Drosophila melanogaster: one gene and its partner. Changing the gene in region 2 together with the main gene of any one other region gives a genetic interaction. Each region holds a gene or a part of one and is shown on either strand. Other genes may lie near its edges.

What was found. A genetic interaction does not mean that the proteins touch.
Region 1: of Dop2R (region 2) and Gad1, changing one suppresses a phenotype caused by changing the other (phenotypic suppression), as found in Drosophila melanogaster (one study listed by BioGRID).

Annotation. Positions count from the first base shown.
Region 1 is NT_037436.4:4,084,782-4,091,080, forward strand, and holds the start of Gad1 (glutamic acid decarboxylase 1), read right to left. Parts: upstream 3,964-6,299; 5' UTR 3,431-3,963; intron 2,924-3,430; exon of another isoform or gene 2,800-2,923; intron 1,063-2,799; exon of another isoform or gene 842-1,062; intron 749-841; exon of another isoform or gene 648-748; intron 18-647; 5' UTR 10-17; coding exon 1-9. Other genes in the region: CG14989 (uncharacterized protein), read left to right, coding at 4,186-4,433, 5,258-5,361, 5,492-5,880. UniProt on the Drosophila melanogaster protein: Catalyzes the production of GABA.
Region 2 is NC_004354.4:20,059,216-20,065,495, forward strand, and holds the start of Dop2R (dopamine 2-like receptor), read right to left. Parts: upstream 3,492-6,280; 5' UTR 2,840-3,491; intron 1-2,839. UniProt on the Drosophila melanogaster protein: Receptor for dopamine. The activity of this receptor is mediated by G proteins which inhibit adenylyl cyclase.

The sequences.
Region 1 (6,299 bases), on a different chromosome or scaffold from region 2:
CAGCGACATTTTCTCCTCTGAAAAGATACAGAGTAAAAAACGTGATGAAATTATTAGGGGGGAAACGCAAAGTGCGGACTCAGCAAGATAAGGAAAAATGGAGCTCGGCCAAATGAAGTGAGTCAATGTTATGCAATCGACCGAAGGCCGTGGGTCCTCGGGGCAGGTGTTACATAAGTCCTTGCACTTCGAAAGCCCCCATTTTCCAACAACCCACACACACAAATTGCATAACCAAGACAAGCAAACAAACAAACGGTGCGAAAATGCAATGGGCGTGTAAATAAACAGAGTGGAAAATGGAAAATGGAATGCGGAGTTTGGCGAACGAGAAGGGGGGGGGGGCTGTTGGTACAAGGACAACTGAAGGGCAAGCTCCAAGTGGGAGGTAAGTATTTGGTATATGCCACATATACACGGATTTCAGGGCCCCTCCTTTTCACTTTTGGCGCCATCTGCTATTGCGCAGTGAGTGTTAAGCCAATTTCCTGCGACGGAACGAACATATATAGTATATATATATATAAGCTTATATATATACATAAGCTTGATTTACATGGGGATACAGACAGCGCGACAGCTGCAATTAATGGCGAAAACCTTGGACAGTGCGAAACTTATGCAACAAAATCGTCTGGGAGTCTTACCGATAATCCTGCGGATATCGTCGATATACTGCTTTAGGTAATTCACTTTGACTGTCTGCGGGGGGCGACGAATCACCGACGAGGCTTTCGAAAAGATATAGCTAGAGGAATGTGCGAGTACGAAATGTATCGAAATGTATCTCTGAGATGGAGCTGCGATTAACTACTTGTGGTCTAAACCAACGACAACTTACAGAGTTCTCTTCTTCCTAGCAACAACAAAAAACACTGAAAATCACTCGCGAAACGGAGGAGCAACAATTCGCTGATTGAACGGACTGGGAATTACTATTGGATTTGAAATGTATATATATTTTCACAGGTTCACAGGTTTCGGGCAACTTTCACTTTCGGTTTGGGAAACTTAGGGAACTGAGCAGCCTACACTCGCTGACGATCTGCGGAGCTATGAGCAGCAGCATCCGCCTGAGTTGCCTACGAAGCTTTTCGCATCCAAAAAATGGCTGCCCATATACCACTACAAGCGTACCTATGTATATACATACTACTCCTCAATCTCTTGCATAACCTTCAGCGACAACGACAACAACAGTGGGGCTGAGGAAAATGCGGGAAATTCTCCGGGTGACGTCATTGATTTTTCGGAAACCATCTTTGTTAAGGCCATTTTGCGTGGGCGGAGCTTCGGCCATGCGCGCCCCAAAGTATCCAACAGATACACATGAAATATGTGCGCACGCCTGGTGAATGCTAAAGAAATAATAAAACGGGATAAAGGGAAAGGAAAATATAGATTGTGATGGGGCGACCAAATGAAAAGCTAATTAACAAACTAATTTTGCCACTGTTTCTGACATTTACAATGACCCACAACTTTTTATGAGAGTTTCCTGTCGAATGAAACAAAAAAAAATAACCCTATAATTACTTTCATTTCCCGCATATATGTACATATGTGCGCTTAGATATAGAAGCCAAAGCATATAGATTCCTGGTATATAGAACAAAAACGAAATTTGGGTCAAAGCTAGGCCGCCCGCCCACTTGGGCTATGCAAAATAGATATGTATCTCAGAGTGAAATTGCATCATTTCCAATAGAACGCGTTTCGTAGCATACTTTTGAGGGCCAGAGAACATCTATGGCCATGTTATGCAACTTGGGTAAAGAGCCCAGGAGCAGCAGGACCAAAAAGGACGTCCATCAAACTGGAGAAGCTTAAACAACGAGAACCCTAGGAATACTTGCCGCAAAAGAGTTCCACCCACTCCACTTCCATTCTTATCTGACACACGGAGCAGCTGGCGTAGGATGTTACCACACACTTGGCACTTGGCACTTGGTCCTGCTGCTGCTCCAGCTCCTGCTCCCTGGGCAGGATCCAATGCGTCAGCGTATTTTCGTTGCGAGGGCTCTGGCACTTGAAAAGTGTCTTTCGATGTAACTGATTGCAACTTAAGAAGGCCATTACAGTGGCAATAACTCCCTTGCTAGTCCCTGTGATCCATCTTTTTTATTGAATGCCTGCAATATTGGCAAAATGAAGTCGACACTTGTTCAACATGACTTTCAAAACATTCTCATAGGGCGTAGTGCATTACTTTGTAGCACTAGCTAGAAGAAATCCAACGGCAGTTGCAGAAAGTCCATAAAGCCGTAATTGCACAACGAAATCGTTACTTTTGATGTGGCAACAACTGTGTGAAAGGACTTTCTTCGCAGTTTTTTAATTGTTAATTGCTCAATTGCTTTCTTGAAACAATAAAAACATTTTAGAAGACCTTAAGTGACAAATATGGCGCCTAATAGATATGAATTTGCACCCTACGCCTTAACATCTGCGTAACCCTTTAACAAAACCCATCCATCACAAGTGTCAGACAAATATTTCTGATACAAAAACAGCTCATGGTATTTAGAACCACTAAACATGGCGAAATAAAGTCGCCTGCTATCTGAAAAGCACTTCAACGGCATGTGCTACCAATAATAATTAGGCACTCGGTCTGCACTTATCGCAGATATATGGCAAACAGACCAGTCTGAAAAGGAGGGGGGGATCGGGTGTATCTGCGATAGTCTATCCTCTGATTCGCACTTGAATCTATGACACCGGCAGATAAAGCCATCAAAAACATTTATTATTAGTAAGTGGGATTTTCGTTTGGGCCGGTTTGGGCTCAGTTGAACAACTGCTACCATTTGTAGCGGACAGCTTTATATAAATCCCGTCGAGTTAAGGATTTAAGCATTTCGAGCGGAGCAGGTGCCACGAACAATCGGATTTAATTGAGTCAAACTTTTGGAAAAGCACAGTGAGTTGTAACAGGAAACGGAAACAGAAACAGAAACAGTAACAGAAACAGCAGCAGACATGGACAAACAAAAGGATTATGGGTTTAAGCCATTTTAAGAGCGATGTTTAAAATACTCTCAAAAATAATGGTTGCAATACAAGCATGTCGCCTTGCAGTCCCTTTTAAAAGTTATATGTACATTTTTAAGGAATATTTTAGTTAAAAGAATAGTCATATTACTAAAAATAACAAAGCTTTGAAGAACTATTTATTTGATTTTAATCAAACTAGAAAGCTGAAAGGGATTTGTAAAATTATCAAAAAATAAAACTATGCAGTCATTAAATATTTAATACTTCATTATAAACATTCCTTATTATTAATGATAGCAGATAAATAAATTGAGATAGATACTTTGCATCAGTAGAAATAGTTAGACAGGATCGATACCCTTTCATAAGAGCACAACTAGCGAATGGAATTGAACAATGAGATGAGCTCTCGACCAGAAAATAGGATGCTCACCTGGCTGTGATTGCACGTAGCGCAAGTAGGCCCTGTAACCCAGATAGGCGAAAATGTTTGGAGTCAAGTGCCACCCACGGATGCGGATGGAGCTGGGAGCTTGGGTCTGCTATTCTCGGGCGGCTAATTCAGACCGGGCGTTTCTGGCCAGGGCGAAGCGTCCTCTTTGGCACTCGACTCTCAACTGCCAGCCAGAGGCATCAGAAGCACAGTGGGCCAGGGAATGCTCCGCACCCCGGGGGCCATGAACATTTTTCGTTGCCCGTGGAAAACAAATGGGAGTTTGGGAATTTCGACTGTTTAGCCTGTCATTACGCTGACAAAATAAGATTCCAGCAGGTTGGTTAGCTGAGGCATTTATGTGAGGTATTTTCGACGAGAATCCCGTTGCAAAAGCGTTGTCAGGATGCCAGAATGCCAGGATGCCAGGTGGGAGTCTCAGTTGCGTTCGAAAGACAGGCGATTGCATAACCCCTTTCGGTTTGGCAAATCAAGCGAATGATATTCGGATAGCAAATGCTCGGGATAACAATGGTGTAAGGATTAGGCCCCGCAGGCAAGTACCCCAAACGCTGCTTTTTGCTGCCTATTTTTGAGAGCGCGATAATTGCATTTCGAGCACAATTGCTCCTATTGTACGGGGCCAAACAGTCTCCATTTTGGCCCAGTCCTCCCTGGAGGATAATACGCCCCAAACCAGCGTGAAAAACCCATCCCCCAGTTCCGTAATCTACCCATCTCTTTTCAGCCCAGCGATGGGAGAGCGTGTTGAAAAGCGACAGAGAAAAATGGGGGGATGTGGATTACAGCTCGTCATACCATTGGTCACAATCCTCATCCTGGCTGCGCAGGCGCAGGCTGTGACGTCATCGCCCGTCCTGAAGGACGACACTTTGGGGGATGCTGCTCCGACGGCAGCGCATTCAGCAGCCAAAATCCTTGAAGACGTCCAAACCATCAGCGCAGTTCAGGATTGGAGTTTGCTGTGTAAAGAGCTCTGCGGGTAAGTTTCGGATAAACAGCAATCGAAAACTCTAGGAATTACTGAAAGTAAGGTGCCTCGGCGCAAAGTGACTCAAGTGTTTATTGTTGGCAAGTGCAGGTTTCCCCCCAACACAAAAAAAAGTGCAAACTAATAATGATAATAATACGACACATTTACCAACTAAAATGTTGGCCTTGAGAAATCATTTGCAAATCGCGTCGGCCTTTCAAGTGGCTTCCATCGAGGTTTTCCCACAATCGCGTGTGTCAGGGAAATATAATCCGCATTCCTGATGATCGGTGGCTATATCAATGATTCGTGACTCGACTTTTGTGGCGTGTGTGCAGTAGTTTGTCAAGTGCCAAATATGTTAAGTATAAATGGCACTCGAAGTCGCCAGAAGTACTGTGCTCACTTAAAAAATTGAATAGGCTTTAAAAAATAAATTCTAAATGTCGGGTCAAAGCTAATCAAAATTATTTCACAATTTTACGATATATAATTTACAAATATTATTAATTAGAACATTTTGGCTTGCGTTTATATTTAAAATATACTCTGCATTATTTTTTAATTTGGTGTTTAATACTATTTAAAAATGTTTTGAAATAAATATATTTTTTACAAAAAAAAAAAACAGTTTATCAAGTCGAGATTTTCCTAGATCATTTGTGCTATTTAAAACTATGTTATCTGTAAACCTAGTTTCAATAACAATTATGCATATATCATGGTTCTTAACTTGGTAATGCGAGTGTCATATACTGTCATCTTAAATCTTTTTTTTTTTTAATTTACTCTGCATTGCAATTTAATCAGCATTTTATGGTTGATCCTTGCAGAGCTGGCCTGGGCGTTGCTTCAACGCCTGATGTGGCCAAAAACACAATCCTGAGACCGGAGACGGATGTGGCCAAGTGCCGGCAACTGTGTGGACTGCCTAGGGGTAAGTGGAAAATAATATATTGAAACTCTATTCAAAATATTATACTTTAATGATTATTATGGTCGAACTTAAGGTTAATTTGCTTTTTGAAAAATAAACATACTAATCAAATGCACTTATTTACTTCCAGCTAAAGCGGGCGACTTGGTCTGCTCGAGCTTTTGTGGTCAGATGGGTCGCTCCCTGCCCGGATGCAGTCCCTGCCAGCAGGAGGTGCGCAGGATGAGGGTGATGAAGGAGCGGAAGCAGGAGGAGGAGAAGCAGGAGGAGGTTCGAAAGGACGAGGAGAAGGCCAGTGGAGTGCTGGGCGATCCAACACACGGTTCCAGAGCCGCGGAGAATGCCGAACGGAGAGGATCGGTCGAGGAAGCAACAGTGTCCGCAGCTACCGTGGCAGCCGCCTCGGAAACGGACACAACCACTCCGGCACCGGACTGGGACGAAGTGTGCAAGGTGCTCTGCAAGACTGGCGATGGCGGGTCTTTGTGCAACTGTGATTTATCGCCGTTCTTCAGCTGAGCGATCCCCACCTTCCTGAGGGGATCGCTCCCGATGGAGGCGCTAAATCACAAAACCATATATATGGATCGAGAATTATCTGATTATCTGATGTTTTGTTGTTCTTCGTTTTTGAACTTCAGTTAGTGCTATTGTTGTCATGAAAAAGTATCTCCCATATATAATCTATATCGGAAAACGTGTTACGAAAGTTTAGTTAAATACTGTAAAGAGATAAAAACAAAAACTATAGAAAAATCAAAAAAAAAATCAAACAATTCAATATAAATAATACATAGAGAAGAATATACGATGAGGAGGAGGAGCAAGCAAACAAAAAAAATTCCCTATGCGAATCAATTAATTTGTAACTAATTTCAATTACAACTAACTATAGAAAAGCTATAGAGTAAGCAAGGGGGGGGACTTTACCCCCCACA
Region 2 (6,280 bases):
AAAATATATCTTGATTTATTTTCATTGATTTATATTCCTTATATATTTTTTTTTTCCTAAAATAAAAATATACGTCGGCAACGCAGAGTTTTAAGTCTTCAATAATCATTGTTTTAAAATCCGGATAAATAGCTATTGAGAGTCATATAATACTAAAGTTTTAAATAATAAAACGTTTGTGCTTGTGAAAAGCACCGACTATAGTGACCAAGTCCACTGTCTATTTCTCCCGCTGTGCGTTCTCGCTTTTCCTCCCACTTCGACCAAATCTGCGCTAAGGGGGATGGAAATGCGGTGGAAAACTCGCACTTCCGTCGGCGGAGGAGCAGGGAGCTCAAGTGGAGCCGCAGGACGCTGGATGCAGGACACGCTGCCAGACGAAAAGGACCGACTGCTGGTTTATTAAGCAGGAGTCGGGTGACAATTCCAGATACTTTATGCAGCGCAAAAAGCCAAGCTGCGATGCGGGGCGCAAAATAAAGGCAAATGAAGTTAGTGCCAGTGAGCACTAGAAATGGGAGCCACTGTGCATTGGCCTGTCCTGTGCGCCGACTAACAAGGATAATTGCAAAAGGAAGTAACAATAAACCCAATGATATCGATGCCCAGTTGCACACATAGGGGAAAACTGAGGAAAATGGGGGAAAAACGGGCAAAATGGGGGCGTGCTGCTGCTGCGGAAAACAAAGGGAAAGCGAGCAGGGCCAGAAAGGACGCGATGGAGGAAATGGAAGCCGTGTCCTGTGGAACGATTGCGCCAGCGAGCAATCAGCGTAAAGTGCGCGCCGCTTTGTAACTGAAACGATAAAAGGGAAAAAGAAGGTGGTAGCAGGAAAGGCGAACAAAACCGAACAGAACAGAACAGAACTGAACTGAACTGAACAGAAAGATGGGTTACTGCAAAAAAAAAAAAAAAAGGACCTCGGTCGGGACGGAAAACAGGAAGGACAGCTGGGAGGCTGCAAGGAGCGGAAGGAGCAGAGGGCAGCTGGCAAACAGCAGAGGGAAAAAAGAATAAAATATCGTTTATTGAGGGCACTCCAACGGCGAATGTGATTGTTGTCCACCCATCACCCAGTGAACTCCACCCACCGCAGGCTAGCACCCCTGGTATTTTCCACTCCCCCATACCCCAGCGTTTCCCGGGCATCCCAGGCGGAGATCAAAGCCCAAGACGACGAACCTCACTTGGCTTCACTTGCCCACCGGTGTCCAAAGTCCAAAGTCCGGTGAACGGAGCGCGGAGCATTTCATTCCACGAGTGAAGAGGGGCGAACGAGAAATTGGGACTGGGAACTGCAACTTTGATTGAATTTTATGGGCATTCCAGCACAAGATCATAAATATTCGCTTTTATGCGTCCATTTTGCGCTCTCATTGTTCATTTGCCAATAATAATATTGTAATAACAGGCGAACAGCCACTGAAGTTTTTCATCACATTGATAATTAATAAACGCTTTTGCGACTTAGGCTGTCATTAATATGTTACCATTTTAATAGAAAAACGAGAGAGAATGCGTGAATTTCTCGACTGTCAGATACCCTTAACTCGACTAGTTTTTCTTCATTCTATTGGCATTCTTTTTGTGTGTGTGGCAATTGAATCAAGCAAAAGGACGGACAGACAAACGGTTAAGGCCAGATGAACTCGTCTAGTGAGTCTGGTCAAGAATATATATCCTTTATATAAACAGCATGTTACATACTTTTCAACAAGTCTAGAATACCATTTTTCATCACGACAAACGCGTAAGCCTAGCTCAGTATTAAATGCGCACATTCAATTTTAAATTGTTTCACATTAATTCATTCTTCAGAAAAATGGCGTCTTTTTTAATTAATGAATATGCGCAGAAAGTGCAAAATGTAATTTATTTGATATCCTAAATTATCATTAAATTCTGCATTAAAACTTTTCAAACAAACGGAAAGAATGGAAATCAAAAATCTAATTTTTGTAACTACCGCAATTGACAAAGTAACCGATACAAACAAGCATATTCCGAATGAAAATGAAATAAAATAAAATCCATACTCTGGGCGTGACCGAGTGCAGCGTAATTTATTTTTCAGCCACGGGTTATGACAACAGTGCGTATGCGTACTTTTAATACCAATCGCTTATACGCAGCGTGGGACAAATCAACAGGATGCCAAACTAGGTGAGGAGCCCCGTGGGCACTTGGCAATGGGAAGGGTATAGGGAGCGGAAGAGGGAGGCTGTTGCGTTTCCATCCACGACCGTATGCCAGAGCCATTTGTTGTGTTGTTGTTGCCTTGTCCTAAATGCTTTCCCCCAAACCCGAACTCTGCGTCACCACCGCCCACTTAGACAAGGACATCCCGTATCGCTGTGTCCTTGTGCCAACGCTTTCATGCACATTTATCGTGATTAGCTATTAATTGATAATAATTAACTTAAGCACAAGCCACAGATGCCAGATGAGTGAGTATGCGTGGCTGTAATGTGAGTGCGTGCGAGTGTGTGTGTGTACGGTATGGATTTCCTCTGGCCTCTCGGATCTGAAATCTGAAATCTGAATTTGACGTTCCTCCTGTTGATTTGCGATCCAAAGCCAGACACTCTGAGTGCTCGCATTTGTCGGATGTATAGCCGACATTCGCTGGCAGTTGACTGAACCCGAATCTAAATCTAAATCCAAATGTAAGTCCGTGGAGAGGAGCTCATCAAAGAAACTAATGCTCGCATTTCACATTTATTCCCGCTCCCATTTCAATATGACTGTACATTTGCCCGGAATTCCGTTTGATTGGCCACAAAAGTATGCTAGGAATCACCAACTCTTTGTAATTTCAACTCGAAAACTCATACTTACTTTGCTCACTTTGGTATTTTACTTAAATTCAGTCGAACTAAGCTCGGTTTCAGGTCCTTGTTGCCTTTCGATTCGCTTTCCTCGCTTTTATTCTTTTGGCTTTAACCAAATGTTTTGTACACATATGCACTAAGTGATTTTTGTTTTTACTTTTTTGTTTAGAACGTTAAAAAAATGTTTAAAAAAAACCAAAAAAAAAATGCTTTATTGCCGACGGATACTGGATACTACAAATTGAAATATAACTACTATCGGGTGATTCTTAGATGGTAAATTTCGTACAACCTTAGTTGTGCAGCTTGTTGATTGAGTTGGTTAAAGTTCATGAGGGATGGCAACTAAGGACGAAGCGCGAACACAAAAACACTGATTTGCAACACAAAGTCTTGGCCTGAAATGATTCCAATCTCTGATTCACACACTGTTGTTCGACTATTCATTCAGTTGGGTTCAGTTCAGTTCAGTTTAGCTTCGAATCCTTTGCGTTCACATTCACGTTCAGCTACAGATACAGATTCACTTTCACTTTTACTTTCACTTTGCGGTCAGAGTCTGGGATGATACGATGCGACTGAAGTGCTGATTGGAGTGGAACTGAGTTGAGTTGATGGCTTTAGCTGCTGCGAGATCCGTGCGGCACGTGCGAACACGTTCAGATTTCATAACCAACTGTCGAGTCAGCTGCCGCCGTCGCTGCCGCCGAAGGACCTAACTGGGCCGAAGCGCTCCGAATAGGATTCCAATGGCCGAAGTGCGAAGTCCGAATCACGAAGTGCGCAGCCGAGGCCCCAACGAGCTCTGTGCCGGATCCTTGGGCGTTCAAAGGGCTTTGGCTTTCGAAGTTGACTCTTCGGAGACACCAACCGTTGGCGAGGCGGTCCCGTCAGACTTTTGGGCGCCCATTTTGGGTGCCAGTGCCAGTGCCCAGCATCCGAAAAACGACTCTCTTAAGCGCTCTCTTATCCGCAGGAGCAGCCAAGACAGCCAAGACATCCAAAGCAGCTGGTGGCGGGTGGCTGGTGGCCGAAGTTAAGTTCCTGCGTTGAGCATGGGGGCCACCCTTGTTGCTCAAGTGTTGCACATTATGAAGCCGAAGCCAGGCATAAAACTTTCACCATTAGCCGCGTTAATGTCAAGCGCGCGCCAAATTCGTCAGCTGGCCATTGGTGCAGGGACATTTACCAGGGGGGCTTAGTGAAAGTTTTATCGGCACTTTCGGCCACATCGGCATGTAAGTGGTTGGTTGGTGCGAGATGAAGGCAACGGCAGCGCCTTATCCTCGAATGATCTTACAGATCTGTGTGGAAGGTTTTGAATGGGATCAATATGTAGTGGCCAGTGCGCAACACATGCTGTTTTCAAGGAGATGCACTCTGGAACTCGCCGCTCGAACTCGAAGCTCCGGCATTCCGACATTCCGGCAATCTGGCATTCTGGCATTCTGGCACTCTGATACTCAAGATCCTGGGCCCTCTTCTCCGCCGCGTCATAGCCATCCTGGCACTATGACATATTGTATCCACACGCATACGTGACCGGGTTACCAACTGGCGAAAGAAAGTTGTGCCCCTGCTCCTACTTGAGTCTCGAATCGTTTGAGTTCCTTCTCGGACTTGTTTACGCCTCCCGTTTCGAGAGTTGCACACATAAATCCCATAAATGACAAACTTATTAGTGGCATGATAGGAGCAGAGAAATGCCAGGACCAACAGCACCAAAAGGACCAACAGGGCGAGCAGGACGAACAGGACACGCAGTCGCATTATGAAGCGGGAAATAGAAATTAGTGACAGTTGCACAAATTACACAAATCACAAATCCAAATTCACGCCCTGGGGGCAATTCGGGGCTGGAATCGGCATCAGGCACATGTATCAAATCAATAAATTAAGCCCCACGCCAACTAACATAAAACATGAAAATTGCGGTGAAGTTGCGGAGGAGGAGATGAGATGGGATTCCTGGGATTAATTTGGTTGGCCAGCCTCGCCATTCCGCTGGGAATGCAAAGTTTCAATTGCCAAACACGGCGACCTTGGTCACCAATTTTGACCCACAATGTGCTGACCCCCAGCACTCCGGAACTCCGGAGCCCCTCAACCCCGAAGCCCGGCCAAAAAACAGGGAGGTGCGAGTATTTGTGGGCCAACTAAAACAACAACTAGCTGAAACAACAAACAGCCGGGCTACACAAACTGGAAAAAGTCTGCGGGACAAGTTTGGCACATTTGTCACAGGGACACTCTGCAGGTTCGCAGTTTCCAGTTTCGGGTTACGAGTTTCGAGTGCAACATACAGCTTACAGCATGCAGCATGCGGCATGCGGCGCATCCAATCCCTGAGCCTCGAGCTGAAGCTAAAAACATTAGTTCTCCCCTTGCCAACGAGACAAATAGTTTTGAAGATTCAAAATCTCATAAAGAAATTGTAGAAGAAAGTGAAATGCTGACTGCTAGAAAGGCGGTGTGCTGTTGTTGTAAACAGTCTGTAAAAAGTGAATACTACCCAGGTGCTTTGTCCCAGGAATCTAAGGACATGTCGAAGGGTGTTCGAATTTCCATCCTCCACTCTGTGAGTGTGTGTGTGTGTGTGTGTGTGTGTGTGTGTGTGTGTTCTGTGTTTTGCGTGTGTCAGACAGGCGATGGAGAGTGAGTGAGCAAGCGGGTGTGGGGAACAAAAACTTTTTCAGCAACTACAATAATTTAGTATAGTTCACCAAAAAGTTCCACCTGTCCGCATTCCACCACCCACTTCCGCATCAGCATCCGCACTTCCACACTACATCCACATCCGCATCCACATCCGCATCCGCACTGGCATCCGCATCTGTGTCGGACGGCCGTCCATGTGTGCGTCTAAAGTTTATTGGTAAAATTTTATTGCAGATTTTTGCGCTACTTGCTCTGCTGCCCCGCCCACATCTGCCGACGCCCTCCCTCGCCCCATCGCCATTCCCGCCACGCCCACTTTCCCCTTGCGCCAGCAACCACACACACCTTTAGCCATCGGCTTGCCGTCGTCTTGTGAAAATATTTGGGAAAACTTTTGCAATTTATCTGTTTTATAGCCAGCGACCAGCACTCACACACGAAAAAAGGCGAGCCGAAAATCGAGGGTGCGGGCACGAGAGAAGGTTCCGTTCAGGTATCTGCTCCTGTCGCTTCCAGGCTTAGTGTATGGGTTGCATGTCTGACCCACTCTCCCCAGCCAAGTGCAAAAAAAAAAAAAAAAGCACACCGTGCGAGACAGAGCGTCGAAAAATATACGACGCCAGAAACCGAAAAAAAAAGCAATTGCAAATGAATCGAGTTAAAGTAATTTAACAGTAGATTGTCCCCGTCCACTTGGGAAGCCCGCAGGTCCTTGCGACTTCGCCTCGAACTGGCATGCGGAGAGGATACTGGGGATGCGGAGGATACCGATGATATGGGGTCCAACAGA